Linked DNA regions of Stegostoma tigrinum. The protein of the gene in region 1 purifies or fractionates together with the protein of each later gene. This does not show direct contact. Links are inferred from orthologs where the notes say so. Each region holds a gene or a part of one and is shown on either strand. Other genes may lie near its edges.

Region 1 (15,650 bases):
CCTTCTGTTCTCTACATTTCTCCCATTAGCATCCCTCATCAAGTTCATCTTGTCCATGACAACTACTCCCATTTAGCTTCAAGCTTTCCAACATCAAAAATGTGTCCTTTCTCAAGTAACATTCCTATGTCTATTAAGACTGACATTGTCTATTCTCACCCACAACCTTTCCATTCTCTCCAATCATCACGTTTCTTTTAAAGATTTTGCTTTAGTTACAACAGCTTTTCTTTATTAACATTACCGCTCCCCACATCCCTTGATAAAGTACCCACAAGCATTTTCTTTCACAGTGCGTTCAACTCCCATCTCACCATATCTCTATTATACCTCATCATTATTCAAATTTGTCCTCTTTAATGCAAAGCACTTTGAGTCATTCTAAAATGTGAGGCGGGATGAACACAGCAGGCCCAGCAGCATCTCAGGAGCACAAAAGCTGACGTTTCAGGCCTAGACCCTTCATCAGAGAGGGGGATGGGGTGAGGGTTCTGGAATAAATAGGGAGAGAGTGGGAGGCGGACCAAAGATGGAGAGAAAAGAAGATAGGTGGAGAGGAGAGTTTAGGTGGGGAGGTAGGGAGGCGATAGGTCAGTCCAGGGAAGACGGACAGGTCAAGGAGGCGGGATGAGGTGGTAGGTAGAAGATGGAGGTGCGGCTTCGGGTGGGAGGAAGGGATGGGTGAGAGGAAGAACAGGTTAGGGAGGCAGAGACAGGCTGGACTGGTTTTGGGATGCAGTGGTAGAGGGGAAGAGCTGGGCTGGTTGTGTGGTGCAGTGGGGGGAGGGGACGAACTGGGCTGGTTTTGGGATGTAGTGGGGGAAGGGGAGATTTTGAAGCTAGTGAAGTCCACATTGACACTTGCGACTGGGAGGTGCAGTTGTTTATTGCAAACCGAGCAGAGGTGTTCAGCAAAGCAGTCCCCAAGCCTCCGCTTGGTTTCCCCAATGTAGAGGAAGCCCCACCGGGTACAATGGATACAGTATACCACATTGGCAGATATGCAGGTGAACCTCTGCTTAATACGGAAAGTCATCTTAGGGCCTGGGATAGGGGTGAGGGAGGAGGTGGGGCCAAGTGTAGCATTTCCTGCGGTTGCAGGGGAAGGTGCCGGGTGTGGTGGGCAGTGTGGAGCGAACAAGGGAGTCACGGAGAGAGTGGTCTCTCCGGAAAGCAGACAAGGGTGGGGATGGAAAAATGTCTTGGGTGGTGGGGGTCGGATTGTAGATGGCGGAAGTGTTGGAGGATGATGCGTTGTATCCGGAGGTTGGTGGGTTGGTGTGTGAGAACGAGGGGGATCCTCTTGGGGCAGTTGTGGCGGGGGCGGGGTGTGAGGGATGTGTTGCGGGAAACGCGTTCTCGACCACTGTGGGGGGAACCACTTGGGGACCGCTTTGCAGAACACCTCCGCTCGGTTCGCAATAAACAACTGCACCTCCCAGTCGCAAACCAATTCCACTCCCCCTCCCATTCTTTAGATGACATGTCCATCATGGGCCTCCTGCAGTGCCACAATGATGCCACCCGAAGGTTGAAGGAACAGCAACTCATTCTGCTTGGGAACCCTGCAGCCCAATGGTATCAATGTGGACTTCACAAGCTTCAAAATCTCCCCTTCCCCCACTGCATCCCAAGACCAGCCCAATTCGTCCCCTCCCCCCACTGCAACACACAACCAGCCCAGCTCTTCCCCTCCACCCACTGCATCCCAAAACCAATCCAGCCTGTCTCTGCCTCCCTAACCTGTTCTTCCTCTCACCCATCCCTTCCTCTCACCCATCCCTTCCTCCCACCCCAAGCCGTACCTCCATCTCCTACCCACTAACCTCATCCCACCTCCTTGACCTGTCCGTCTTCCCTGGACTGACCTATCCCCTCCCTACCTGCCCACCTATACTGTCCTCTCCATCTTCGGTCCGCCTCCCCCTCTCTCCCTATTTATTCCAGAACCCTCACCCCAACCCCCCCTCTCTGCTGAAGGGTCTTGGCCCGAAACGTCAGCTTTTGTGCTCCTGAGGCGCTGCTGGGCCTGCTGTGTTCATCCAGCCTCACATTTTATTATCTTGGATTCTCCAGCATCTGCAGTTCCTAGTATCATTGAGTCATTCTACATGAGTGCTGCTTCTATAAATGTAACCATGGCTGTTCTAAATTTTAATTCACTTGTCCCCCTCCCTACTAAAGGTTCTTTCGAATACTTTCAGATTAATTCAATACCTGTTCATCGTTATTATAACATCCTTCAGTTTAGCTGGTAAGCTTAAAAAAGAAATATCACAAAATGGTTTGACACAGATTATTGACCAGAATTTGCTGAAAATGTGCAAATCAGAGAGCAAGTTTGGGCAAGGAAAAATAATCTGTGAAATGGGAAGGTGCAAGGCAACTTATGCTGCTCTGTTGTTAAGATAACAAAGTGTGAAGCTGGGTGAACACAGCAGGCCAAGCAGCATCTCAGGAGCACAAAAGCTGACGTTTCGGACCCAGATCCTTCATCAGAGAGAGGGATGGGGAGAGGGTTCTGGAATAAATAGGGAGAGAGGGGGAGCCGGACTGAAGATTGAGAGAAAAGAAGATAGGTGGAGAGGAGGGTATCGGTGGGGAAGTAGGGAGGGGATAGGTCAGTCCAGGGAAGACGGACAGGTCAAGGAGGCGGGATGAGGATAGTAGGTAGGAAATGGAGGTGTGGCTTGAGGTGGGAGGAAGGGATGTGCGAGAGGAAGAACAGGTTAGGGAGACGGAGACAGGCTGGGCTGGTTTTGGGATGCAGTGAGGGGAGGGGACGAGCTGGGTTGATTTTGGGATGGAGTGGGGGAAGGGGAGATTTTGAAGCTTGCGAAGTCCACATTGATACCATTGGGCTGCAGGGTTCACAAGCGGAATGAGAGTTGCTGTTCCTGCAACCTTCGGGTGGCGTCATTGTGGCACTGCAGGAGGTCCATGATGGACATGTTGTGTGAGGAATGGGAGGGGGAGTTGAAATGGTTCGTGACTGGGAGGTGCGGTTGTTTATTGCGAACCAAGCGGAGGTGTTCTGCAAAGTGGCCCCCAAGCCTCCGCTTGGTTTCCCCAATGTAGAGGTAGCCACACCGGGTACAATGGATACAGTATACCACATTGGCAGATGTGCAGGTGAACATCTGCTTAATATGGAAAGTCATCACCCTCAAGAACTTCTCTTTCGATTGCTCCCACTTTCCACAGACAAAGGGGGTGGCCATGGGTACCCGCATGGGCCCCAGCTATGCCTGCCTCTTTGTAGGTTACGTGGAACAGTCCCTCTTCCGCACCTACACAGGCCCCAAACCCCACCTCTTCCTCCGGTACATTGATGACTGTATCGGTGCCGCCTCTTGCTCCCCAGAGGAGCTCGAACAGTTCATCCACTTCACCAACACCTTCCACCCCAACCTCAAATTCACCTGGGCCATCTCCAACACATCCCTCACCTTCCTGGACCTCTCAATCTCCATCTCAGGTAACCAGCTTGTAACTGATGTCCGTTTCAAGCCCACTGACGACCACAGCTACCTAGAATACACCTCCTCCCACCCACCCTCCTGCAAAAATTCCATCCCCTATTCCCAATTCCTCTGCCTCCGCCACATTCGCTCCCAAGATGAGGCATTCCACTCCCGCACATCCCAGATGTCCACGTTCTTCAAGGACAACTTTCCCCCCGCAGTGGTCGAGAACGCCCTTGACTACGTCTCCCACATTTCCCGCAACACATCCCTCACACCCCGCCCCCGCCACAACCACCCCAAGAGGATCCCCCTCATTCGCACACACCACCCCACCAACCTCCGGATACAACGCATCATCCTCCGACACTTCTGCCATCTACAATCCGACCCCACCACCCAAGACATTTTTCCATCCGCACCCTTGTCTGCCTTCCGGAGAGGCCACTCCCTCCATGACTCCTTTGTCCGCTCCACACTGCCCTCCAATCCTACCACACCCGGTACCTTCCCGTGCAACCACAGGAAGTGCTACACTTGCACCCATACCTCCTCCCTCACCCCCATCCCAGGCCCCAAGATGACCTTCCATATCAAGCAGATGTTCATCTGCACATCTGCCAATGTGGTATACTGTATCCATTGTACCTGGCGTGGCTTCCTCTACATTGGAGAAACCAAGCGGAGGCTTGAGGACCACTTTGCAGAACACCTCCACTTGGTTCGCAATAAACAACCGCACCTCCCAGTTGCGAGCCATTTTAACTCCCCCTCCCATCCCGCAGATGACATGTCCAGCATGGGCCTCCTGCAGTGCCACAACGACGCCACCCGAATGTTGCAGGAACAGCAACTCATTCCGCTTGGGAACCCTGCAGCCCAATGGTATCAATGTGGATTTCACCAGCTTCAAAATCTCCCCTTCCCCCACTGCATCCCAAAACTAGCCCAGTTCGTCCCCTTCCACCCCCCCCCGCCACTGCATCACAAAACCAGCCCAGTTTGTCCTCTCCCCCCACTGCATCCCAAAGCCAGCCCAGCCTGTCTCCGCCTCCCTAACCTGTTCTTCCTCTCACCCGTCCCTTCCTCCCACCTCAAGCTGCACCTCCATTTCCTACCTACTAACCTCATCCCACCTCCTTGACCTGTCTGTCTTCCCCGGACTGACCTATCGCCTCCCTACCTCCCCACCTATACTCTCCTCTCCACCTATCTTCTTTTCTCTCCATCTTCGGTCCATCTCCCCCTCTCTCCCTATTCATTCCAGAACCCTCTCCCCATCCCCCTCTCTGACCAAGGGTCTAGGCCCGAAACATCAGCTTTTGTGCTCCTGAGATGCTGCTTGGCCTGTGTTCATCCAGCTCCACACTTTGTTATCAGGATTCGCCAGCATCTGCAGTTCCCATTATCACTTATGCTGCTCTGTTGCCAGGATTGCATAAATTATGCCAGCATTCCCTGGAATATAGAAGATTGAATAATAATTTGATTGAGACTTTTAAGATTTTAAAATAAATTGACAAGACAAATTTATTTTGTTTGCAGGTAGGGAGTCTCAGAAAAGAAGACATAACTTTAAAATTTATTGTTTGTAGAGAAGTGAAGAAGCTTTTTTCATGCAAACGATGGTAGAAGCATGGAACTCAGTCTCACAAAAAAAAAGTAGACCCTGGCTCAACTTTCAATCTGCTTTTGAGTTTGGATAATACATGATTTCACAAAACAGTTGAAAAGTCTTGAATGGGTGAATGAACTGCTCCTGTTCCAAGATTCCTAATTATCCATGAAATTCTGCACAGCAAAGTTACATGCAGTGATTAAGAGAATAAATATCTTTCTAACAATGCAAGAACTGTTACAGAAAACCAATCAATTCACTCACCAGAAAATGAATAAATCACAATGCGAGCCTCTTTTTCAGGTAGTGAATTTTCAGAGAATAAAATGTTCCAAAGCTTAAAAATTGTTTTGTTTTGTTTCATTTTTTCCCCTCTTGATGTCTTAATCCAATCTTTCTTCCCCTCTACCGGATTTGGCACTGAATTTAGCAATTTTAATATTTATCTTCTCAATCTTTCCTCATCTTATTTCTCAATTGTTAAAACCCACTGGTTAAAGACATACCTTGTTAGTCCTGTTATTCACCAAATTGCGGATACCATGTTCCTCTCACATGGTTATCATCACTGGGCACTTCCAGCAATTTGGTGGGCATAAAACACTGAGCTGGAAGATTCAGACAACTTAAGCACCAAGTTACCAGATTAATTGAAATCAATTATTAAAATTATAGCTCAGAAACATGAGAAGTGTACATCATTATTTAGTTACAATAAAGATCTTGTAATGAAAGATTATTGGTCAATTTAGGTGGAACATAAGAAAAATAAATTTGGACTCTTGATATTCATTCCCTGATGGCTGTATTTGAAAACAAAAACTTTCATTTAGATCCAGCAGGAGGAGAACTAATTTCTTTGGTTTGCTTTTTCAAAATACAAGCAAGTAGAAACATCAGCAATTTCTCCTAAGATGCATGTAAACTTTTTTTTCATTCACAGCATGAGGGCTTTGCTGGCTCGGCAGCATTTATTGCCCATCCCTAATTGCCCCAGAGAGCAGTTCAGACTCAACCACATTGCTGTGGGTCTGGAGTCACATGCAGCCCAGATCAGGTAAGGATGGCAGTTTCCTTCCTTAAAGGATATTAGTGAACCAGATGGGTTTTTCCAACAATCGACAACGAATTCACAGTCATTATTAGACTCTTAATTCCAGATATTTTATTGAATTCAAATTCTGCCAGCTGCCATGGCAGGATTCAAACCCAGGTCCCCAGAACATTATCTGGGTCTCGGGATTAACAGTCCAGCAATAATACCACTCGGCCATTACCTCCCCCTATAAAAATACATTCTTAGGTTTCATTATTGACGTCTGTCAGTGAAGCAAAGGCAATGGTACTTTTTTTTAAAATCAGGTTAGAAAGATTGCTTTAGCCAAGCTTAAAATTCCACATACATGCACATTTAATACATTTTAATGTTAATTTTGCTTTTCTAAATTATCAATGCCACAAATATAGTAGTCTGAAAATTGTTAGCTACCTAATTATACAAGTTGCATAATTATTATTTTTTAAACTAACAAATTACTTTTGCTATGAATGCTATTCCAAATTAATAATAATTCTACCACAATTTGTCAATATCCTTTACTTGATAAAGAATGGAAACATTTTATGAAGTTATGTCAGTGTAGTGCATATATTGGAGTAATTAGTCAAGTATCAATTAGTAACTTTTTTCAAAATAAAAAGTCAACAAGTAATACCATGAAGAGTATAATCCTTTTACAGCTTGCTCGTCTTCACTCCATCGGGATGGATTCTCATACTTGCATGCACGACCACCACATGCCATTGAGCACTGCATATGGCCTGGGATAACATGCCGCAGGCGTTCTCCAACTTTGGTATACTTGGCTGTTGGACGTCGCATACTGCCTGAAATGAAGAAACAGGCAATCAAGTACATTTCAAAGTGGCAAGGTAATAATTGTAATTCAAATGAATTTATTTAAGGACTTTGTTTAATCAAGCTGTGAAAATAGTTGACTCTAACATTTATTTTCTTGTAGTAAACACATACTAATTGTTAGACAAAATGTCAGAATACAAAAGGCATAGCATTGGAAGATTTGAAACAAATTATTTAATTTACTTTAAGTAAACAATCAACTTTCAAGCATACCATTTTATGCCTGTAATAATTTTACAAATTACAAGACTAATGCAGCGCAGGAATACACATCAGAAATTCAAAATCAGGTTTCCCAAAACTTTCCATTTAGTAAAATCCCCTATATCAGCCCATGTTGGGAGGGTTCAAGTTCTCTCATAATATTAACCCTACAACATTTAGTGCACCTTTATAGACTAAATGTACAATTTATATACATCTATTTCACAATCACTATTTGAAATTTGGTTTAAAAATAAATTGCAGCTTTATCAACATCCAAGACACACTTCTATAAAAACATGCACGGAACTGTGGATGTAGTCAAAAATAAACAGTTGAAACAAAATACACCAAAAAAACTAAAAATGTTGCAGTTTGAAATGTATGCATATATCTATTATAGTGAAATCCTAAATAATAACATCAAAGTGAAGTACTTCTTCCTGGTAATAGGCTAGTTTTAGCCTCTTCAATACTGACTGATGATACAGCAACCATAACCTGGTGAGATGTAGATGAAAGCATCTCGATGGCTGAGCTCCGACGTCTCTGCAAAACTCTGACCAGGCTATCAGAAGCAGAGCGCCTCTGACTCTGGATGAAGCCGCTCAAATACTCTACTGCTGAATGCCTTCTGGAAGATCCCTGCATGATGATTTGCTTGAAACACTCAAGACTGCCACCACTGAACAGCTACAGCTTGCAAAAAAAAACAAGATTACAGGGAAGTTACACTGCAATCTAATGATATTCTGATAGACTACATCAGTCCTTTAGGAGAGGCTAAGGAGTTTCCATAGTAACAACTAGCAGAGCCAATTATGATAGTCCATGTCATGTCATGTTGCAGTTTGGGAAAGGTATCATTCTATTCGGCAATATCTTTGCAGTTTAATAGACCAATTGTGCAGCTGCTTCATATATCAGGTTTGGAAGCTTTGTGTTTGTGTATATCAATGTAGCATGTTAAATAAAATGAATTATTCTTTGATCCATTCTGTAAATGCAACGGAATAATAAACTTGACAGGAAAAAAGAAATCAGTCTTTCATGCATGTGCTAATTGACAAAGAACCTCACAGTATTAGCTCACCTTCCTGCACTAAGTTTGTAAATCCAGCTGATCAGTCTTTTTTCAGTTGACAAATAAAATGCTCTATGAATATGGCGAGCTTCTGCCTCGATCATCCTTTCAGTTACTGAATTCCTGGTCCCTACCATGTGGGTGAAAAAAAAACATTTTGCTATCTCCCCTCTCACCCTTCAACCATTTACTTTAAAGCTATGCCCCTGTTCAGAAAAGTGAGGGGTCTGAAGTAGAATTTGCTCCCCTGCACCAGGAGGGAATTGCCTGGTTCCCTCACAAATTGACAATATGGACCATTGTTTTTCTAACAAAATCAGTACTGTGCATTACTAATTTATTCACAGCATCATAGAATCATACAGCATGGAAACAGACTTTTTGATACAAATAGTCCATGCCAACCATGTTCCCGAACTAGACCAATCCCACCGGCCTGTGTTTGGCCTGTGTCCCTCCAAACCTTTCCTGTTCCTGTACTTATCCAAATGTCTTTTAACTGTACTTGCATCCCAATTGTTCTAATTTACACTACAGTATTAAAATAAAGCTAAACTGAATTCAATTTCACAACTAGCAAATATGAATTTTGAACTCACTGCCTCTGGGTTGTTAGTTCAGTAAAGTAGCTCAGCAAGTTTATTAAAACATGAAATATTAATTTACCTTTGTCTGAAGTTACAATATACCTCCTATGTTCTAATGAAGAGTAAGGCAGTTCAGGATGTAGGGAAATTCTTGTAGCCATGGCAGCATCTGTTGAAATATACATAGATATCTAATTTATTGTAATGGCACACACGTGCTATGTTTGCTCCTAGATTTCCCATAAGACACCTTACCTATCATGTTTTCCATTATATGCTCATCGAATCAGGGAATTACGTCCCTTTGTCAATATTCCTGGAGGGAAACTCAGAAAATATGATTAACTCTAAAGAATAAACGTATGATCATTTAGCAGCCGACCTTAACATAAATTGCATTTATTTCAATGCAAGAAGTCTGACAGATGAACTTAGAGCATGGTTGGGAATGTGGAATATCATAACTATTAAAGAAACATGGCTCAGGGAGGTATAGGACGAGCAGCTTAATGTTCCAGGGCATCGATGCTTTGGGAGGAATAGAAAGGAGCAAGACAAGATAGGAGGGGGATGGTGTTTTTATGTAAGGATAACATTTCAGTCGTACTGAGGGAGGATATTCCTGGGAAAACTTCCACTGAAATTATCTGGATGAAATTAAGAAATAAGAAAGGGATGATCACCTTATCGAGATTGTGCTAAAAAGAGTAACTAAAGGGAAGAATAGGGCCCCCTTAAAGATCAATGAGGCCACCTACATGTGGAACCAGAGGAGATTGTGTCCTCCCACAATAATTGGTGGGAAGTTGAGAAGCAAATATGTAAGGAGATCTCAGATATCTGTAAAAATAGTAGCGGATTTTAACTTTCCAAATGTACACTGGGACTGCCCTAATTTTAACAACTTGGAATAAGAGGAACTTGTTAAGTGTGTACAAGAAAATTTTCTTATTCTGTATGTGAATGTACCAACTAGAGAAGGAGCAAAGCCTGACCTTCTGTTGGGAAATGAGACAGGTCAAGTGAGCAAGGTATCAGTAGAGAAGCACTTTTAGGCAAGTGATCATAATTCTAAACGGTTTTAAAATAGTTGTGGAAAATTATAGACGTGATCTACAAGTTAAATTGGAAGGTGGCCAATTTTGATAGCCATGAGGTAGGACCTTTCAAAAATTGATTGGGGGAGGCTATTGGCAGGTAAGAGGATGATTAGAAAATAGGACGCCTTCAAAAATGAGATAATGAGATCAGAGACAGACACTGTGTTCCTGTTAGTGCGAAGGGCAAGACTGGTAGGTGTAGAGAATGCTGAATGGAAAAACTGAAGCTCTGGTCAAGAAAAAGGATGGGGTAAACATCAGGTTTAGATGGCAGAGATCGAGTGAATCCCTCAAGGAGTATAAGGGGAGTAGCAGTATACTTAAGAACTAAATCAGGAGAGCAAAAAGGGACACAGGATAGCTTTGGCAAATAGGGTTAAGGACGATCCAAAGAGATCCTACAAATACAATAAGGAAAAAAAAATAGTAACTAAGGGGAAAGAATAGGACCCCCTTAGAGATCAATGAGGCCACCTACACGTGGAACCAGAGGAGATAAGTGAGATTCTAAAAGATATTTTGTGTCAGAATTAACTGTGCAGAAGGAAGCTAGTGAACTTGGCAAAATAAACAGCAATGTTTTGAAAACTGTCCATGACAGAAGAGGAAGTGCAGAGGTCTTAAAATCCATAAAGGTAGATCAATCCTGCAGGACTAGATTAGATGTAACCCAGAGCTTTGTGTGGAAGGTAGGTAAGAGACTGCTGCCCCTCTTGCTGAGATATTTGTATCATCAACAGCCATGTGAGAGGTTCCAGGAGCTAGAAGGAGGCTAATGTAGTGCCGTTATTTAAGAACGGTGACGAGGCAAAGCCAGGGAACTAGACACCAGTGAGACTGAATTCAGTGTCAAGCAAATTGTTGCAGGGGATTCTGAGGGACCAGATTTACATTCATTTGAAAAGGCAAAGACTGATTATGGATAGTCAACATGGCGTTGTGCTTGGGAAATCATGTCTCACTGACCTGATTGTGATTTTTGAATCAGTTACAAAGATGATCGATGAAGGCAAAATGGTAGACGTTGTCTGTATGGATTTGAGCAAGGCATTTGACAAGGTTCCACATGATAGACTGATTAGCAAGATTATATCACATGAAATCAGATGCGCCAAGGAATGGCAGATGTGATAATGTGAGGTTTTGCATTTTCATAAGGCAAACCAGTGCAGGACTTATACAGTTAATGGTAGGATGTCAGGGAGTGTTACCAAACAAACTGACCTAGGGATGCAGGCTCATTGTTCCTTGAAAGTAGAAGTGCCGGTTGACAGATGAGTGAAGGTGGCGTTTGGCACGCTCACCTTCATTGGTCAGTGCACTGAGTATTGGAGCAGGGAGATCATGTTGCGACTGCAGAAGACAGTGACGCCACTTTGGTGTCCCTGCTATAGGAAAGATGTTGTTCAACTTAAAAAGATTCAGATAAGATTTACAAGGATGTTGCCAGGATTGGAAGGTTTGAGTTGTACAGAAAGGCTGAATAGGCTGGGGCTTTTTCCCTGGAGCATCAGGGACTGAGGGGTGACCTTTGAGAGATTTATAAAATCATAAGGGGCATAGACAGGATGAATAGCAAAGATCTTGTTCCCCAGGCAAGGGGTTCCAAAACTAAGGGGCACAGGTTTAAGGTGAGAGCAGAAAGATTTAAAAAGGGACCTAAAGGACACTTTTCCACACAAAGGGTGATGTGTGTATGGAACAAGCCGCCAGCAGAAGCGGTGGAGGAAGGCACAATTACACCACTTAAAAGGCATCTGGATGGGTACATGAATAGGTAGGGTTTACAGGGATGTGGGCCAAAAGCTGAGAATGGGGCTAGATCACTTGAGGATATCTGGTTGGCAAGGATAAGTTGGGCCGAAGGGTCTGTTTCCACGCTGTGTAACTCTGTGACTGCAAACGCTGTATTGTTGAGCCAATTACACTGCCTGTTCCATAGAGGAAAGCCGCAAAGCACAGGGTAAAATATAGCGTCAAGACACGTACTGTCGTGCATGATTTGTTTTAGCCAGTCCTTAAGACTTCTAAGTATTAAATGAGCTGCTCCGGAAAATAGATCAGCAGCACGAAATTGCCAAACTTCTTAAACAGCTCACGAGGATGACTGTGTGGGAAACGGAAATGCGACCAGGCAAAATATGAGAATTTGGTGTGGACTCTGTGGTAGCTGAACAGAATGAAGAGGAAAAAGTATGAAAAAATGTGGCGCTGGCATCCCAACAATAGTTGTGGTTGCATTAAACATTTAAAACTAGTAGCCTTTTGCTAAAAATTTGCTAAAACTGAATAATAATGATTCAGCCAGAGTTGTCTACATTTTGACGGTTCAAAATTCTTCCTGCCCTTTTGCCCCTGCTTGTCTGCAATTTATAAGGATGCTTTTTGGAGTCTACTCCTGTGAGGACAGTTAGAAAATAATGGTTCATAGCCTTCCATACTCCCCCCCCCCCCCCCCCAACAATGTTAAATTATTATTATTCAGTAATTTATCCAGTTTCACTTGTTAGTTTTCTTAGATTTGCCTAATTCTCCACTTTCCATATATTCTTCGCTGGTGTTTAATGTTTTTGCAATCTCCTAACCTATTTTTCTGTGTTTTCTGAAGTATATAGAAACATACATAGAAAAACAAAAGATAAGAGGAGTCTGTTCAATGCCTTGATCCAGCTCATTTATTCATTATGATCATGACTAATTACCACGCTCAATACTAGGGATAAGGATCCCACCCTCCCCCATATCTCTTGATCTGTTTAGTCGCAAGAGCTATATCTACCTCCTCCTTGAAAGCAAAACCAAGGGAAATATGAAATACCTCTTTAAATATCTGTCATTGCTTTTCCAGAAACCTGCATTTAACCTTTTTAACCCATTCCATTTCAACCAATTTTGGCTTTCAACACTGTTACTGCCTATACTTAAGTTTAAAAGTTCTAAACCAAATTTCTCACCTACCAATTTTTTGTAACTTAATGTGATATGTGAACATGCTACAATCACTCTTATCTAGAGGACTCTTTGCTCTGAGGTAATTTGTTAATTCTACCTCATTGCACATTACCAGTCCAAATTGGTCTGTTCCCTGGTTGGTTCTGGAATATATTGCTCAAAAGAAACTGTCCTGAATACCCTATGAATGCATTCTCTGTCCATAGCACCAGGGGTCAGCAAGCATAGTTTGTGACCTACACCAACCATATCGAAAGTGTCCACTGCAGGAGGAATATCTGCTTCGAGTTGATGAGCCGGACATTGCAATGAGTCAGGAAGTGTAAAATTACTGTGAGTTTGTTTCAGGAAACCATCACATTCCTCAAGTGCAGTATTTCAGATTACGTTTATGGTCATGGACAGGGAGATGCAACTGTAGGAAAGGCAGTTACGTGGATCTAAAAAAGGTATCAATGAGGAGTCTCAGCCTTGCAATTGTTCTATAGCTTTCAGGTTCTTACAGCTTGAGACAGAGAAAGGGGAAGATGGAGCGAGGAGAGACAGAAGGAACTACACAAAGGATGAACAAACCGATCCTTGCACTGTAGTTCAACAGGCCATTCAATCAGGGAATGCAGAACGCAGAATATAGAACATAGAAAATTACAGCGCAGTACAGGCCCTTTGGCCCTCAATGTTGCGCCGACCAGTGAAACCAGTCCGAAGCCCATCTAACCAACACTATTCCATTATCATCCATATGTTTATCCGATGACCATTTAAATGCCCTTAAAGTTGGCAAGTCTACTACTGTTGCAGGCAGGGCATTCCACACCCTTACTACACTGAGTAAAGAACCTACCTCTGACATCTGTCCTATATCTATCACTCCTCAACTTAAAGCTATGTCTCCTCGTGCTAGCCATTGCCATCCAAGGAAAAAGGCAATCACTGTCCACCATATCTAATCCTCTGATCATCCTGTATGCCTCTATTAAGTCACCTCTTAACCTTCTTCTTTCTCCCAAAAACAGCCTCAAGTCCCTCAGCCTTTCCTCATAAGACCTTCCCTACAGACCAGGCAACATCCTGGTAAATCTCGTCTGCACCCTTTCCAATGATTCCATATCCTTCGTATCACGCGGCGACCAGAACTGTACGCAATACTCCAAGTGCGGCCACACCAGAGTTTTGTACAGCTGCAACATGACCTCATGGCTCTAAATCTCAATCCCTCTACCAATAAAACCTAACACACCATACGCCTTCCTAAAAACCCCATCAGCCTGGGTGGAAACTTTCAGGGATCTATGCACATGGACACCGAAATCTCTCTGCTCATCCACACAACCAAGAATCTTACCATTTGCCCAGTACTCTCTATTCCTGTTACTCCTTCCAAAGTGAATCATCTCTCACTTTTCCGCATTAAACGCCATTTGCCACCTCTCAGCCCAGCTCTGCAGCTTATCTATGTCCCTCTGTAACCTGCAACATCCTTCCGCACTGTCCACAACTCCACTGACTTTAGTGTCATCTGCAAATGTACTAACCCATCCTTCTACACCCTCATCCAGGTCATTTATAAAAATGACAAACAGCAGTGGCCCCAAAACAGATCCTTGCGGTATACCATTAGTAACTGAACTCCAGGATGAACATTTCCCATCAACCACCACCCTCTGTCTTCTTACAATTTCTGATCCAAACAGCTAAATCACCCTCAATCCCATGCCTCTGTATTTTCTGCAATAGCCTACCATGGGGAAACTTATCAAATGCTTTACTGAAATCCATATACACCACATCAACCACTTTACCCTCAGGGCAGCACTGCAGCCTCACAGCGCCAGGGACCCGGGTTCGATTCCGGCCTCGGGTAACTGTCTGTGTGGAGTTTGCACATTCTCCCAGTGTCTGCGTGGGTTTCCTCTGGGTGCTCCGGTTTCCTCCCACAATCCAAAGATGTGCAGGCTAGGTGGATCGGCCATGCTAAATTGCCCGTAGTGTTCAGGGGAGTGTGGGTTATAGAGGGATGGGTCTGGGAGGGATGCTTCAGGGGACAGTGTGGACTTGTTGGGCCGAAGGGCCTGTTTCCACACTGTAGGGAATCTAATCTAATCTACCTGTTTGGTCACCTTCTCAAAAGAACTCAATAAAGGTTTGTCAGGCATGGCGTACCCTTCGTAACACCGTGTTGACTATCCTTAATCAAATTATTCCTTTATAGATGATGATAAATCCTCTGTTATAATCCTCTCCAACACTTTACCCACAACCAAAGTAAGGCTTACTGGTCTATTATTACCTGGGTTGTCTCTACTCCTCTTCTTGAACAAGGGGACAACATTTGCTAAACTTCAGTCTTCTGGCACTATTCCTGTAGTCAATGACGACATAAAGATCAAAGCCAAAAGCTCTGCAATCTCCTCCCTAGCTTCCCAGAGAATCCTAGGATAAATCCCATCCGGCCCAGGGGACTTATCTATTTTCACACTTTCCAGAATTGCTAACACCACCTTCTTCTGAACCTCAATCCCATCTAGTCTAATAGCCTACATCTCAGTATTCTCCTCGACAACATTGTCTTTTTCACGTGTGAATACTGACGAAAAATACTTAATGCCTCTACTATCTCTTCAGACTCCACGCACAACTTCCGACTACTATCCTTGACTGGCCCTCCTGCACACATTGGACAAAAACTGACCCATCTAAAGTACTCGAACTATAGCGTC
Region 2 (15,621 bases), on another chromosome or scaffold:
TCTTATTGCAACGGTCTGAGGTTAAACCAAATCATTTGCAAATTCAGTATCCTATTTAGCCCTGAGCTCAGCCAAGCTTCCAACTGATTTTGTCTCCCTGAAGACACCCTACTTCCACCTCTACACCAGTCAACAGTATCATTATGCTGTTGAAACTTTCATCCATACTGTTGTCATCACTCGATTGCAGTACTCGAACCCTCTCCTAGCTGACTTCCCATTATCCAACCTGCAGTTATTAAAAACTGCTGCCCAAACCCCAATTCTATCTGCCGACAGAGTCCTGCTGACTCGTACCCAATTCGCATCCAATTATACCACTACAAACCTATCAGATGCAATCCTACGCTCAGGGACTATGTACCTGCTAGTTGCTGCTGTTATAATGTAAACTAGTTTTTAAAAAAAACTAGTATTAATACTGTGTTCCACAACTTCACGACATCCTCTTTACAGCCAGTTAAATATATCTGAAATGCAGTAGCCGATTATACACAGCAAGCTCCCAACAGTATTGCAATAATAAATATGATCTTATTTTAAATTAATGTTGGTCAAGGGGTAAATATTTGGCAAGTAGTTGATTTTTATACTTGAATACAAATAGCAGTGATTATGCTGCCAACAATAAATTAAAATTAATGCAGTTTGGGAAAAAAATTATACAAGTCATACAGGCAAAACTAAAAGAATATGTAAGTGGTGTCATGTAACCATGCTTCCTGCATTATCTATTGTGTAGCAAACAACAAAATGATACCTTGGACTACAACTGATCATTGCTTTCCACATACCCAGAGGAGGAGCAAAAGACAAAACACAAGCTGAGTGTTGAACATCACACAAATTTACATCACAATTAAATATAATGTAACTATCCAAATGATGTATGAAATCTGGACAAAGCTGAACTCCCCTACGTAAGTTAGCAACATCGGAGGAGCAGGAAAGTCGACGTTTCAGGTTGGGGCCCTTCTTATGATCTCAACTTTCCTGCTCCTCTGATGCTGCCTGGCCTAGTGCATTCCTCCAGCTCCATAGTGTCTAGTTTGACTGAAACATCTCCAGTTCTTGCTATCTCTTCCCTATGTAAGCTTAAGGTCATTAAAGAAATATTTTAATTACAACAGTTAACAATACCTGGTGTATGTAAACAATAGCAAATACACAGTTTACATAAAAACTTAAGGCTATTTAGAAATCAAGATTTATTTAGTTTTACCACCAAGACAAATCTAAATTGACTGACTGCTATTCAGTCAATCTCTGAAAATGCTATTAGTACAAGAGATTTAATTCTTTAGGGCAATTAAAAGTTGCAAAATTATTTAAGCAACTACAACATTTGTTCTAGCAAGCAAAAAGACTTCACTATAGCCATAAGCTCCTGCTCAATCACATAGACAGGACAGAATGCACATTCAATACCCATAACACAGCACAGGAGACATTTTATGCTCTTAATTGTTAACAAAGGCAAAAGCATTCAAGTCCAATTTTATGCCCATGTCCTCCCCTCAACCCCAATTATTGGAAACATCAGCTACATCACAAATGTAAACAACCAGGTGAGTTAATAAATCACATGGGCGGAATTCAAAAAATAAATTTGAATACGATTTGTGTTAACCTAAGTGATTAAACTTAAAAAAATTTGAAGGATACTGATCTGATAGTAAATAAGGAAAAACTCCACGAGCACTGATTGGCAAGATTTAGCATAACTGATGAAGAGCCAAAAGGAGATAAATACAGATATTTCTGCAGTGAGTTACAATTATCAGTAACATATTGCCTGAAAGCTCCCTGGAAGCAGACACCGAAAATTTTCAAAAGGCAATTAGATATACATACACTGCACAAGAAACAAATAGAGCAAATGGAGAGGAGCAAGTTAGTGAAAGTAACTGGATAGTTCAAAGAGCCTACAAAGGCATGATGAGCTGAATGGATTCCTATTGTTTTGCATGTACAATTCAATGGAAGGTATTATCACTTGACTTTATCAAGTTAAAAGGTTTTGGTTATTGCAAGCTATTTCAGAATTAGCAATGGAAATGTCAGAAATGCATTCTATCACAAATCATAGGGTGGAATCAGGAAATCAAAACAGCAAGGTAGTAGTGACACTGTACCACATTTCCACTGAATGAACCTCAAGTGCCAAAGCAAAGTAACAATTTTATTGATAATAAAATGTGAGGCTGGATGAACACAGCAGGCCAAGCAGCATCTCAGGAGCACAAAAGCTGACGTTTCGGGCCTAGACCCTTCATCAGAGAGGGGGATGGGGGGAGGGAACTGGAATAAATAGGGAGAGAGGGGGAGGCGGACCGAAGATGGAGAGTAAAGAAGATAGGTGGAGAGGGTGTAGGTGGGGAGGTAGGGAGGGGATAGGTCAGTCCAGGGAAGGCGGACAGGTCAAGGAGGTGGGATGAGGTTAGTAGGTAGCGGGGGGTGCGGCTTGGGGTGGGAGGAAGGGATGGGTGAGAGGAAGAACAGGTTAGGGAGGCAGAGACAGGTTGGACTGGTTTTGGGATGCAGTGGGTGGGGGGGGGGGGGGGGGGGGGGGGGAAAGAGCTGGGCTGGTTGTGTGGTGCAGTGGGGGGAGGGGACGAACTGGGCTGGTTGAGGGATGCAGTAGGGGAAGGGGAGATTTTGAAACTGGTGAAGTCCACATTGATACCATATGGCTGCAGGGTTCCCAGGCGGAATATGAGTTGCTGTTCCTGCAACCTTCGGGTGGCATCATTGTGGCAGTGCAGGAGGCCCATGATGGACATGTCATCAAGAGAATGGGAGGGGGAGTGGAAATGGTTTGCGACTGGGAGGTGCAGTAGTTTTTTGCGAACTGAGCGGAGGTGTTCTGCAAAGCGGTCCCCAAGCCTCCGCTTGGTTTCCCCAATGTAGAGGACGCCGCACCGGGTACAGTGGATGCAGTATACCACATTGGCAGATGTGCAGGTGAACCTCTGCTTGATGTGGAATTTTATTTGCCTTCTTGAGAAGAAACTATGTAGCATGAGTGGAAACACAACTGTTGTTAGTAAGCCATCAAAATAAACCCAATGGCATAGATCAACAGAAACAAAGTAGGGTCAAGACTAAATAGGTGCCAGATCAACATGCAGGAAATTAAAACAGCAGTGAAATGTAAGTAAACAGTACGACTATCTCATTAGTGAAATATTACAACATTACTAATTCAATGTTGTTTGGAGACAACTGAGATCATTTGTAAAGACATTCATTTCAACCTCAGCACAAGCAAATTCACAAAAAATTCTGAACTGAAGAAATAAATTAGTTACAACTCCTCTCTCCCATGTTGCAACAATCCCAAGATCATTTTACATTAAATTTCAAAACATCAACAATAGGAGGGAAGATACAGCCATAGTGACCAAATAGTGAAATCCACATGATCAGGACAAGTTGCTAAGCTGTTTAAGAAAGCGCATGAGTATCTCTTGCCCTTAAATAGAGAAAAATAAACAAACAGGAAGGAGCTCATGCTACAATAACTTAATCATTTTCACCATAACTGAAGTACTATGGAGAATTCGAAACACATTTCAGAAATGCATCAAAAGCTATACAAAGAGTTTTAAAAAGTGAGAGATGAAATTGAGGGACTCCAGCAATTACAAGATTTTAGAAAGGTTAGGACAATTCCCTCTGGACTGCGAATAATCAGTAAGAGGTGACCAATAAGGGTTTAACATGATGAGGGGTTTTGATTGAGTAGGGAGAGAAACACTATTCCCTCTAGTGATTGGGTCAATAGCCACAAACCATAGATTTAAAAAATCACTGGTGGAACAGCAGCAATGGATATAAGAAATTTTGAAATCAGTTGTCACAGTCTGCAACACTACCTGAAAAAAATATTCAAATCTACTTAAACATTTTAAAAGCCAGATCCACAACTACTTCGGTATAAGAAACGTATAGGGATATAGAAAAGCAACACATAGGTATGCTTCCAAAAAGCGCTATACAGGCACGTCAGGTTAATTGGACTCCACATAAGTAGGAAGAGCAGTGGAATTGGACCTGGGCTCCAAAATAGTTTAAAGCACACCTAATTTAGGAATAGCTGTATTTACATAATTGAAGTCTAAGAAAGCTCTGGCACTGCATGGATCCAAAAGGAAAATTAAATTGCGCTGTGCACTACAGACAAAATCTTTCCTCCATGTTTCAGAACACTTCCCTGCCCAAAGCCATATAAATAAATAATCTACAGCATCCATTAAGTTCAAAGGCACCATGTGGGAGAAGGTCGAGCCCCAGAGGGGGTAAAAAAAAAGCCGTGCATTTGATATTTTTATAACCACTCTTCAGGATCAGGGTAAATGACAGAACCTAATTTCTAAACTGATACATGCTTCCTTACAAATGCAATTCCACAAAAACCAAAGTGTTTGAACCAGACACATCAAATCAAAAACATTTCAATAAAAAAGAAATTAAATTTTTGAATAAACGACACACCAATACTTATTATCCACGAGTGCACCCTACCTAATAAAGTTCTGTATCAGTGAGTGGATCAAAGTATTTTTCACATAGGCCTTTCTATTGCTTAAGTAATATTCATGCTTGTGTAACTTCACCTTAATTTACAACCAAAAGAAAACACTACATCACAACACTAAGTCAGGAGGTTTTAACTGGCACGATGAGCATAAATACAGTAATGTCTAAGAAACTATACCATTTTTCCAAAAGAGTATTTTCCAAGAACCCTGGTGGGACACAGCATTGATCTGAATTGGCTATACTTATGCCTCATATTTTAATTAACCACAATGGCCTACTGCCTCTGAGGTTATTAGATCAATGTGGTCAGGTCCTCAGAGTACAACAGCAAGCCATGACAAGGAAGTATTTTCACACAAAAATATGGTGTTATTAAAACTTCCAGTTGGCTATGTACTGTTTCAACCAAATAAACCAGGAATAATATTTACACAAAACATTGTCTTGGCATGGAGGCATTTCAGTTGAGGGTCTTCCCTGCTAATCTTTAGTAAAAGATTCTTATTATAAAACTAGGAATAGTTAGTTTGACAACAAAAAAATAAACTTAGCAGAACAGGAAAGCAATTTAAACAATATGTTATACTAAAGCTATTACTTGTGAGAATTTTTAAACAGAGCTGATGATGTAATGGTCATTTAGGCTAACATCTATCCATTATCAGCAGCATGACTACCCCAGGAAATGAGATGAGATTTCTGGGATTTAAAAGCCAACCACAACAAGCATACAAAGATCTTTTGCCGGAATACTTTGCTGAGATAATAGTCATACACTTTATACTATCCATATTAATGACGTGTTTTTAAAAAGGGAGTTTCTTCAACAGAATAGCAAGTAAATAGAATGCCCTGAATGAGCATATCTGCAAGTTTATTCATCAAATAGAGCTTGTAAATGTCTTCTAACCACTTGTTCAAACATATGATTCCACACGCTTGGAGTAGGTGAGACTTGTTATTGAGGCGTAAGCCTGTTAAAATTAAGAAATCAGTTTTAGTTCAGATACAGTTGATTTCAACATCTGTAGACCAAGGAGGAAACTTTTCTCTTCTAATCGTCATTCAGCAAGCCCTACTGTAAAATACATGAAATATTGGGCAACAAGTTTGGGCCGGGCTGAATTGATCACAACAGTCAAAGAGTGAAAATATTTATAGTGTCTAGACTTGCATGAAAAATGACCATTCGGGCAAAAGAATGGAAATCTGCCAAAGTCTGTGGAATGACAACTCAGCTTAAAAAAAATCTGCCTGAGGAGAGTAACGTGTTGTTAATTGAAGACAGCTGTTTATCCACAACTTGCCCTGGTCATTTTTCAAAAGATATGTATAAACTGACATATAAAATAAACTTTTATCAAAATTACACCTGCTGCATATATTTTCAGTAATTTTCTTCCCAGCTGGATGCTGCAATTGCTGGTGCTGCCATATCTACCTTTACATTTTAGGGCATATTACACAGCAGCAGAAACAGTTTTGCAAGCACAGGCAAGAAGTCTGGCCAGTTGTAGCAGGCATAACGTTCCAAAAGGGAAATGGAAGAAAACATCTTCAAGTTGTTCTCTATACTTAGAGTAGTATTGCTTAATTTACTGCACAGCACTCCCAATTGCCATCAAGTATTTGCTACAAAGGACCTCTGAAAGACTTCATTACAATTATAAAAGCATAAGCACATCTGAACAAAGAGAAAGATCCATTAGCATCGCCAGACTTCGATCTCAGTTTTGCACTCAGTACTTGCTATACGTCATTTGTACTAGGCATGCCAGTACACAATAAGAAACGCAAGCTACAATTATCTAATCAAAAATACAATGAACAGGCTTCAGGTCCGTTCCAAATTTAAACACTCTTTATAGCCTTACAGCCTGCACAATTACCTAATCGTCTCCACTCTCCCGAACCCCAATAAATTCACAGCCTTTGCCATATTCTTAATTGTATCCAACTAGTTCCTGCTACACCCAATTGTCGTGACTCCTCTTCTACCTTTATCCTCTCCTCGTCTCTCCTTCAGTTCACTAAAATACTGGAATTTCGTTCCTTCTATCAGTCACAGCCCACTTTCCCTAAAGCCTCCACCCCATTTGTTTAACTGTTCTCTACCCCCACCCGTTTTCGCTCGCCTGGACCTCTCTATTTCCCAGTTTTTTCTCTTTCCCTCCAAATCTCCACCCTCATCTCCTCCATCCTAATTCCGACCAGTGACCCGAAGCATCCTGCGGCCTCCGTTTTCCGGACGATACTCAGTCACCTCTCCTGGTACTCCTTTCTCTCTACTATCCCACCGTCCACACCACTGCCCCCCAAATCTCTGCTTCCTCTCCCGCCCCCTCCCTCTACGGACTCGAACTTGGACACTCTCTCATCACCACTATCCTGAAAGATCACACTCACCAAACCATGCCATAAGCTCCCTCCCCGATGTAACTGAGGTTAGTGTATCGCGGCCCGGTGTCGAACACCTGCCCACGAATCACTTCAGGCCCGGTTGCGCACTGAGGCAAAGTAGGCGCAGCAGCCATCTTACTCAGATCATCCGGAATGACCAAGGATCGTGGCTATTGGACAGGCAGGCACATGTGACAGGGAGGAGGTTGATTGGACCACATTGAACCACCTGATCCAGAACCAGCGGTTAGCGATTCGATTGGATGGTGCTGGGCACGTGACTCAAGGCGGAGTGGGGTGATTCAATTGGACGGTGGTGGACCACGTGGTCACAGCCGCGGGAGCTACGATTGAACGGACGAGATTTGATCACGTGATCTAAACGAGCTGGGGTGTGCTTCGATTGGACGGTGGTAGGCCATGTGATCCAAAGTTGAGGGACGACGGTTGAATCGCCGAGTTTGATTTCGAGGTGAAGAGCCAAGGGAGGGGAAATGAAGTGTTCATATTTTATGTAGTGACCTGTTTCCAAACGTTTCCTGAATCTTACAGTTAATGAAGTACTTGTGAAGCAAATTTAATGTGTTGAAAGAAAGAGCGATTTTTATGCACAGCAAGAACCTGTACAAAGCCTTAGGGTAATGACCAGGAGGGGTATGTTTTTATATCGCTCACGGGATGAGGCTGTCGCTGGTCAGACCAGCGTTTATTGCCCATTCCTAATTACCCAGAGGGTAGTTAAGGGTCAACCACATTGTTGATGACACTGAGCTGGGTGGCAGTGTTTGCAGTAAGGAGGATACTAAGAGGCTGTTAAGTGACTCTGACAGACTGGCCGAGTGGGTGAATATTTGGCAAATGCAGTGTAATGTGGATAAATAGTATCAGAGATAATGGGAACTGCAGATGCTGGAGAATTCCAAGATAATAAAATGTGAGGCTGGATGAACACGGCAGGCCAAGCAGCCGAAGGGTCTAGGCCCGAAACGTCAGCTTTTGTGCTCCTGAGATGCTGCTTGGCCTGCTGTGTTCATCCAGCCTCACATTTTATTATTAATGTGGATAAATGTGAGGTTATCGGCTTTGGTTGCAGAAACAGGAAAGCAGATTATTAGCTGAATGGTGGCAATTTAGGAAAAGGTAAGGTGCTGCGAGACCTGGGTTTCATGGTGGAGTAGTTGCTGAAGGTGCAGCAGGTAGTGAGGAAAGCTATTGGCGTTCATTGCAAGAAGATTTGAGCATAGGAGTAGAGATGGCTTGCTCCATTTATACCTTGGTGAGGCCACGTCCTAGTCAGAGGAAGGATAATCTTGCCATTGGGGAAAGTTCAGCAAAGGCTCACCAGACTGATTCCTAGGCTGTCAGGACTGACATATGAAGAAAGATTGGATTGACTGGGCTTATATTTACTGGATTTTAGAGGAAGGAGCCTCATGGAAACATAAATTCCTCATGGGACTATACAGGTTAGCTGTGGGAAAAATGTTCCCAGTGCTGGGGAAGTCTAGAGTTAAACATCACAGTCGAAGAATATGGGATAAGCCATTCAGGACTGAGATGAGGAAAAACTTTCTTCACTCAGAGCGTTGTGAACCTGTGGAATTCTCTCCCACAAAAAATTGTTGGAGCCAGTTCATTAGATAGATGCAAGATGAAGCTGGATGTGGCCCTTGAAACTAATGGGATCAAGGTGTATGGGGAGAAAGTGGAATGGGATACTGAAATTGCATGATCAATCATGATCGTACTGAATGGTGGTGCAGGCTTGAAGGGCCAAATGACCCTACTCATCCCTAATGCACCTACTTTCTATGCTTCTGTGTTGTGAGTCTGGAGTCGTATGTAGACCAGACCATGAATTCCACGAATTCATGGTGGCGTTCGAACCCAGGTCCCTGAATATTACCTGGATCTCTGGATTAACTGTCCAGTGATAATACCTTTTTTAATTTCAAAAACATACTTTATTCATTAAAAAATATCTTTTATACACATATAGTTACAAATGCAGTTCAGTTCTGTACAGTAGCATATCAAGGAAGTAAACAAACATTGGAGTTTGACCGTATCCAAACAAACCACAGACGTCTCTTACATGTACAAGACTATATTTACATGCATTTGAGGCACTAGGAGGGTCTCATAATTGAACAGACACCTGTTTGACTTCAGAAAGACCTCAGACAGTGGCGTCATGGCAGCAGTTGCCCCAAACTTTACAATATCCCTGAGCACATAGTCCTGGACCTTGGAATGTGCCAGTCTGCAATAGTTGTTCTGGAAGACCAACAAGTTTTGGGCAGACCAAAGAACGTCTTTCACTGAATCGAGGGCTCCAGGTGCAGTTGATGTTTGTCTCAGTATGGGGGACAGACCATAGAGTACAGAGTCCTGTGTCCCAGAGATGCTCAGGATGAACCTTGCCAAAAACCACTGTGTCTTTCTCCAGATTGCCTTTAAAAAACCACATTCCAGAAGGTGTGTGATAGTCTCAACGTCCCTGCAGCTGCTTCGACCGCAGCATGCAGTGGCGCAAACCAACTAGGTGTACATGAAGGATCTCTCAGGTCGTGCCCTTCTTACCATCAGCCAAGTGATGTCTTGGTGCTGGTCAGAAAGTTCTAGTGATGAGGCATTCTGCCAAATGACTTTGACAGTCTGTTCAGGGACCCACACGACTGGATCCACCCTCTCCTTTTCCTGCTGTGTCTTGAGGATGCTATGTACTGACCACTTCGTGATTGACTTGTGGTTTTTATTTTCTTGCAAATTTCTCCATGAATGACACCACAAAGCCATCACATCCCCTTTTTCAGCTGGCTAGATTGTGATGTGGATTGATGCCAACAAGGCATGTTCAGTTTCAACACGGTTGAGGTTACCATGAAGGTCCTACCTTCTCAACCTCTCCCCTCACCTGATGCATGGTGACATCTGGTTAAACTACCACCAGTCATTCTCTCTATAACAAGAGAGCAACTGTACAGTCTTCTGGCAACTTTATCCTTCCAACATAGGCAGTGTATTTCTGATCCTAACTACTCACTGCCCAAAAAGACTTTTCTTCACGTTGCCTTCAACTATTTTGCCAATTGCCTACAAGCTGCGATCTCCAATTCCGGATCCTTCCACCAAAGGGAATAGTTTCTCTCTCTTCTTGAGACCTTCATTATTTTTGGTTTGGAGCTGAAGGCTATCTTTGATCTGTCAGCAGCAGCATTTTTTTTTAGAAAGGGAACAACCATTTGAACATTTGTTCAAACAAAAATATTTGTTTCAGACCAGGCCTGGAAATTAATTGCAGTTGGATTCTTCTTCAAAGTGCTGTAGAGATATTTTGGTCCCAAAGATGCATTACTCTCAAACAGATGGTAAATGTTTGGATGTAGATGGGGCCTCATGGAGTTATGGTAGCAGTCAGCCTAAGAGAAATAATGTTAAGAAAATCCAAAAGAGAAACTAAGGTTTGCACAGATTTTGAACTGTGTTTTTGTCACTATGATTATGGCTGCCAAAGCTACAGCAAGGATGTATGACTACAGTATTATTATTGTCCAATTACCAATTTATTGAGACTTCAGAGAATAGAATTTCAGTCATAAGAATTAAGCGACTTTCCCTTGGAGCTTACAGGAAACTGTTTGCATTGATCGGTGTCTTCAGAAACCAAGCAAGCTGCAATCCTATGCACCTGTGATGCTACAGGGTGGAAACAGGTTAAATGAATTTGCCAGTCACTTTTCATCTGTTTTTTTTTCTTTTAATTTATCCTTTAACTGTGTCTATCTGCTTTTGTGCAAGTGGAGGTCTAGAATCAAAGAAGATTGGGTTTAAATTACTGTTTTACCTTGTTTAACTTTGCTCTGCTAAAGCTACTGTGTAATTAATATTTTTTAAAATTATTTTAGGTTATGAACTGTGAGGTATTCAAAAATTCTGGTTATGAATCATTGGGGCAATTTTGTGGGTCATGGAATATTCTAATTTTACTGTGTTGTGAATACGAGGAAAGGGAGGCTGATTTGATTTGACTGTCAGCCTCCTTCTGTAACACAATTCTGTCTAAGCCATTCATGATGTTGAACACCTATCAAAACAGCAGGATGCATAGATCCCTTAAAATGGCCACCCAAGTGGACAGGGTTGTTAAGAAGGCATATGGTGTTTTGGCTTTCATTAACAGGGGGATTGAGGTTAAGAGTCGTGAGATCTTGTTGCAGCTCTATAAAACTTTGGTTAGACCGCACTTGGAATACTGCGTCCAGTTCTGATCGCCCTATTATAGGAAAGATGTGGATGCTTTGGAGACGGTTCAAAGGAGGTTTACCAGGATGCTGCCTGGACTGGAGGGCTTATCTTATGAAGAGAGGTTGACTGAGCTCGGACTTTTTTTCATTGGAGAAAAGGAGGAGGAGAGGGGACTTAATTGAGGTGTACAAGATAATGAGAGGCATAGATAGAGTTGATAGCCAGAGACTATTTCCCATGGCAGAAATGGCTAACACGAGGGGTCATAGTTTTAAACTGGTTGGAGGAAAGTATAGAGGGGATGTCAGAGGCGGGTTCTTTACACAGAGAGTTGTGAGAGCATGGAATGCGTTGCCAGCAGCCGTTGTGGAAGCAAGGTCATTGGGGTCATTTAAGAGACTGCTGGACATGCATATGGTCACAGAAATTTGAGGGTGCATACATGAGGATCAATGGTCAGCACAACATCGTGGGCTGAAGGGCCTGTTCTGTGCTGTACTGTTCTATTTTCTATGTTCTATCTTTCTGTCTTCTGAGAATATCCTCAGCATCCTCAGTCTACTCACATGACTGGAGCTCCTGGCCCTGAAACCATTCTAATAAATCTTTTCTGTATCCTCTCTAAGACCTTCATAATGTGATTAAAATGTTTTGCATAGACTTAGAAACTGTATTCCAGTCATAGTGGAATCAGTATTTTATATAGATTCATCAGAACTTCCTTGCTTTTGTAGTTAATAAAGTGGAATATCGAAAGAAGCAAATTAAAAGCAGATTTGCTTCTCTTTGTACACCTTTGTAAATAAATCACCAGGTCTAGAAGAAATGCATCCTGGGTTGTCAGTGGAAATTGAGGAGGCTTTAGTGACACATTTGTTTCCACACATGCTGCGAAACTTGAAGTACTTACACAACTTTGTCCTTTTACTTGATTTCCAGAATCTGCTGTACGTTGCTTTTATATTTGCTTTAAAGGAGCTCTTTGGAGCAGTGGATATATGCAGCAGTTCTAGGTTCAAGTTCCACTCTAGGACTTGATGGTCCAGGAAGTTGGTTCAAAAAGCAGCGAAACAGATTGAGTAATCAACTTGTATATCTTTCCGTCAAACACCAATGGCAGCCACTAGGGCCAGGAGAAATTCCTGGTCAGCCAGATATGAAAAGAAAATTGAAATCTCCACCACCACTATATGTAGCTCAGGATTACCATTTGCATACAAAAGTGAATGTTGCCACAGTAACTGGGCTGTCTTTGGAGGCTAGTTGGCTCAGTGAGCAGTGACCTGGCACGGATCAGATTAGTGTCATTGGCATATGTTCAGTTTTTATTCCAGCTAGCATGGTTTTTGACCTGTTTACTTCTCTTACCTATGGAAGAGGTGGTGCATTGGGTCAGACCTGTCTTCAGGCCAGGAACCCAAGGAGAAGATTAGACACCATCAATAAAGTACAAAAACCCCTGTGCTTTTCAATCAGTTATCAAACTGCAACAATTTGTTGCCAAAATCCCTAGGTCACTGTTTTCGCTGCCCAGTTAGAAGTGATTTATATGGTATTGCCTCCCCTGCCTATCAAAAGTATAATTTTGCACTTCTCACTAAAATTTCTTATGCCTACCTGAGTGTCTTCATCCTCTTGAAATCTGTCACTTTTCTTTTTGCTGTTCTACATACTTTCAATTTCTGAGATATCTACATGCTTTAAAATTGTGCCCTCTGCGCCCAGGTCATGGAATAATAGAGCTGAACAGCAAGGAAGCCAACCCTTAGGTCCAATTCATCCATGATGACCAGATATTCCAAATTAATGCAGTCCCTCTTGTCAGCATTTGGCCCATGCTCCTCTAAACTCCCCTTCCTATTCATGTATCCATCCAGATGACTTTTAAATGTCGTAATTGTTCCAGACTTTACCTCTTCCTGCAGCAGCTCATTCCATGCACGCACAGTCCTCTGCGTCAAAATGTTTCCTGATAGGTCCCTTCATATCTTTTCCTTCTCACCTTAAACCTGTGCCTTCTCATTTTGGACTCCCCAATCCTGGGAAAATGACCTTGGCTATTCACCCTATCTATGCCCCTCATGATTTTAGAAAGTCACATCGCAGTTTCCGATGCTCCAGGGAAAATAGCCCCAGCCTTTTCAGCCTCTCCCTGTAGCTGAAACCCTCCAACCCTGACAATAAGAATCTTTTCAAGTTTAGCAACATCTTAACCACTCACACCTCTTAAATACTAACATATATATCTCAAAAAAATTGTTGTCCTTGTATTAATCTAGGGAACCTCACTGTTCCTTATTTGTCACATAGCTGTTCACGCTATTCTCTGTTTTGTCACTGAACCAATTTCACATGCATGCAGCCATTTGGCTCCATTGACTTCATCTTTGCTGACAAGCTTGTTATGAGACATATCTACATACATCACATCGTTGAGTCTTTTTGTGCAGTGCAGATGCCCCTATCTCTGGGCCAGAACGTCTGGTTTCAAGTTCCACCTGCCCCTTAGGTGTATCATAACATTATCAAACAGGTTGATTAAAAATAATATATATCATACCACTGCCCTCAACAATTTTGTCCTGGGGCTGGCTTCCCTTGATTCATCTACACTTTTCTGAATGACTGTTAATTTTGTTTCAGGTTATCATTTCTAAAAGTTTTGCTTACCACCAAGGTTAAACTGACTGATTTATTGTTGCTGGGCTATGAATCAAGGATGTAATATTTGCAATTCTCCAGTCGTTGAGCATCACCTGTGTATAAGGAAGATTGGAACCTCAAAGCCAGAATGTCACCCTTACTTCCCTCAGCAACCTAGGATGCATCCCATCCAGGATTAACCTTCCAAGTCTGTCACCTGAAATGTTAATTCTATTTCTCTCTCCACAATCAGCAAGATCTGCTTAGTATATCCAGTATTTCTGTTTTGATTTCAGATCTGCGTCCAATTTAGAGATTTGCCTACATTAAGTATAGCCAGATTTCCAGGTTCCCAACTACCACTTTGTTTCCTGTGACTTTGGTAGTTTCTTCTTGGTGAAGACAGATTCAAAATACTTATCAAGCACATCAGCCATGCTGTATACCTCCTTTTTTGTCCCCTGATCTAAACACAGGAGTAGCAGGGATGTTAGTAAACAGTTGTTCATGTGAAGAGTAGAAGAAATCTGGAATTCTGTTCCCCAAAAAGATATTGAGCTGGTAAAGAAATTTAAAGTGACAAGGCTAAGGTTAAATCGTTCCCATTAATCAAGGATGTCAATGATTACAGAATACAGGAAGTAAAATAGAGTTAAGATATGAACCACCGTGAGCTAATTGTGCACTGGAAGAGATTTGAGGACTGAAAGACCTGGTCCTATCCTTCCGAAATCTACCGATGTTGCTTGAGAGAGAAAAAAAATGACTGGACACCAGGGAGATCTCCTTGCTCCCCTCTGAATAGGGCTATGGTATTTTTTTCATGTCCACCTGAGAGAACAGAAAAAGTTTAATGTCTTGAATAAAAGATGCTATCTCCAGTGGTGAAGAATCCACAGTGTTATACTGAAATGTCACTCAAATTACATGTTCCAGCCTCTGAAGTAGGAATTGAACTCTCAGCCTTCTAAGTGACAAGGCAAGATTTGACATATTATTTGAGTAGCTCAAACTAAAATATATTTCCAGCACTGAAAGAGGCCATTGATTTAACTGGTCAGTGCTGAAGTTTCTTCTCCACATGAGCTTCCTGTCACTCTGATGACCTTTCACATGCCCAATATTGCCTTTTTATTCCCTCTCATACTAGCAATTGAGGTTAAATGTATCAATGTTATCTAGTTTGGCCAATCCATGTTGCAGTAAATTCCACATCCTTAACGCTCCCTGAAGATAATGCTTCCTCCTAAATTTTGTGGTTACTACATACCAGTGTCCCAATGCTCTGTACTCATGAATATAATCAAAGCCTACATGTTTACAATATCATTCCCCTGCGATAATTTAAAGACTGCTGCAAGGTGTGATCTTTGAGCAGACTACCGCACTCTTCTCTATTTTCCTGATAGTTTCATCCTCTCAATCCTGGTGACCTTCATTCAACTTTCCCCTATTGGTCAATACCTTACATGTGCTATGGAGACCAAAGTGTGTGATTCAATAAGCATTCTTTTAAAATTTGGCTTTATCTCCACAGAAAACTTTTCAAAATTTAATTGCAGCCAAATGCAGAGTGTTGCATAGCTGCTACAGCATTGAAATTGGTCATTTGACCAAACGGCTTTATGCTCCACATGAACCTCCTCATATCTTTATTCATCTAAGCCTATCGACATACTCTATCTTTTCTTCCCTCCTATGTTTATGTAGCTTCTTAAATATTCATTTATGGGATCAGTAAGCTTTGCACGATCATGAAACAGCAATTACATATAGGGTGGGGCA

The links.
Region 2: the proteins of protein tyrosine phosphatase domain-containing protein 1-like (region 1) and mapk1 purify together in Homo sapiens (affinity purification with mass spectrometry; 3 studies listed by BioGRID and IntAct, with this or other methods). This does not show direct contact. The link is inferred for Stegostoma tigrinum from reciprocal best matches to the Homo sapiens genes PTPDC1 and MAPK1.

The regions. Positions count from the first base shown.
Region 1 is NC_081364.1:27,303,689-27,319,338, forward strand, and holds the start of protein tyrosine phosphatase domain-containing protein 1-like, read right to left. Parts: upstream 7,931-15,650; 5' UTR 7,859-7,930; coding exon 7,645-7,858; intron 6,970-7,644; coding exon 6,798-6,969; intron 1-6,797. UniProt on the Homo sapiens protein: May play roles in cilia formation and/or maintenance.
Region 2 is NC_081379.1:44,394,331-44,409,951, forward strand, and holds the start of mapk1 (mitogen-activated protein kinase 1), read right to left. Parts: upstream 7,118-15,621; 5' UTR 7,080-7,117; coding exon 6,952-7,079; intron 1-6,951. UniProt on the Homo sapiens protein: Serine/threonine kinase which acts as an essential component of the MAP kinase signal transduction pathway. MAPK1/ERK2 and MAPK3/ERK1 are the 2 MAPKs which play an important role in the MAPK/ERK cascade.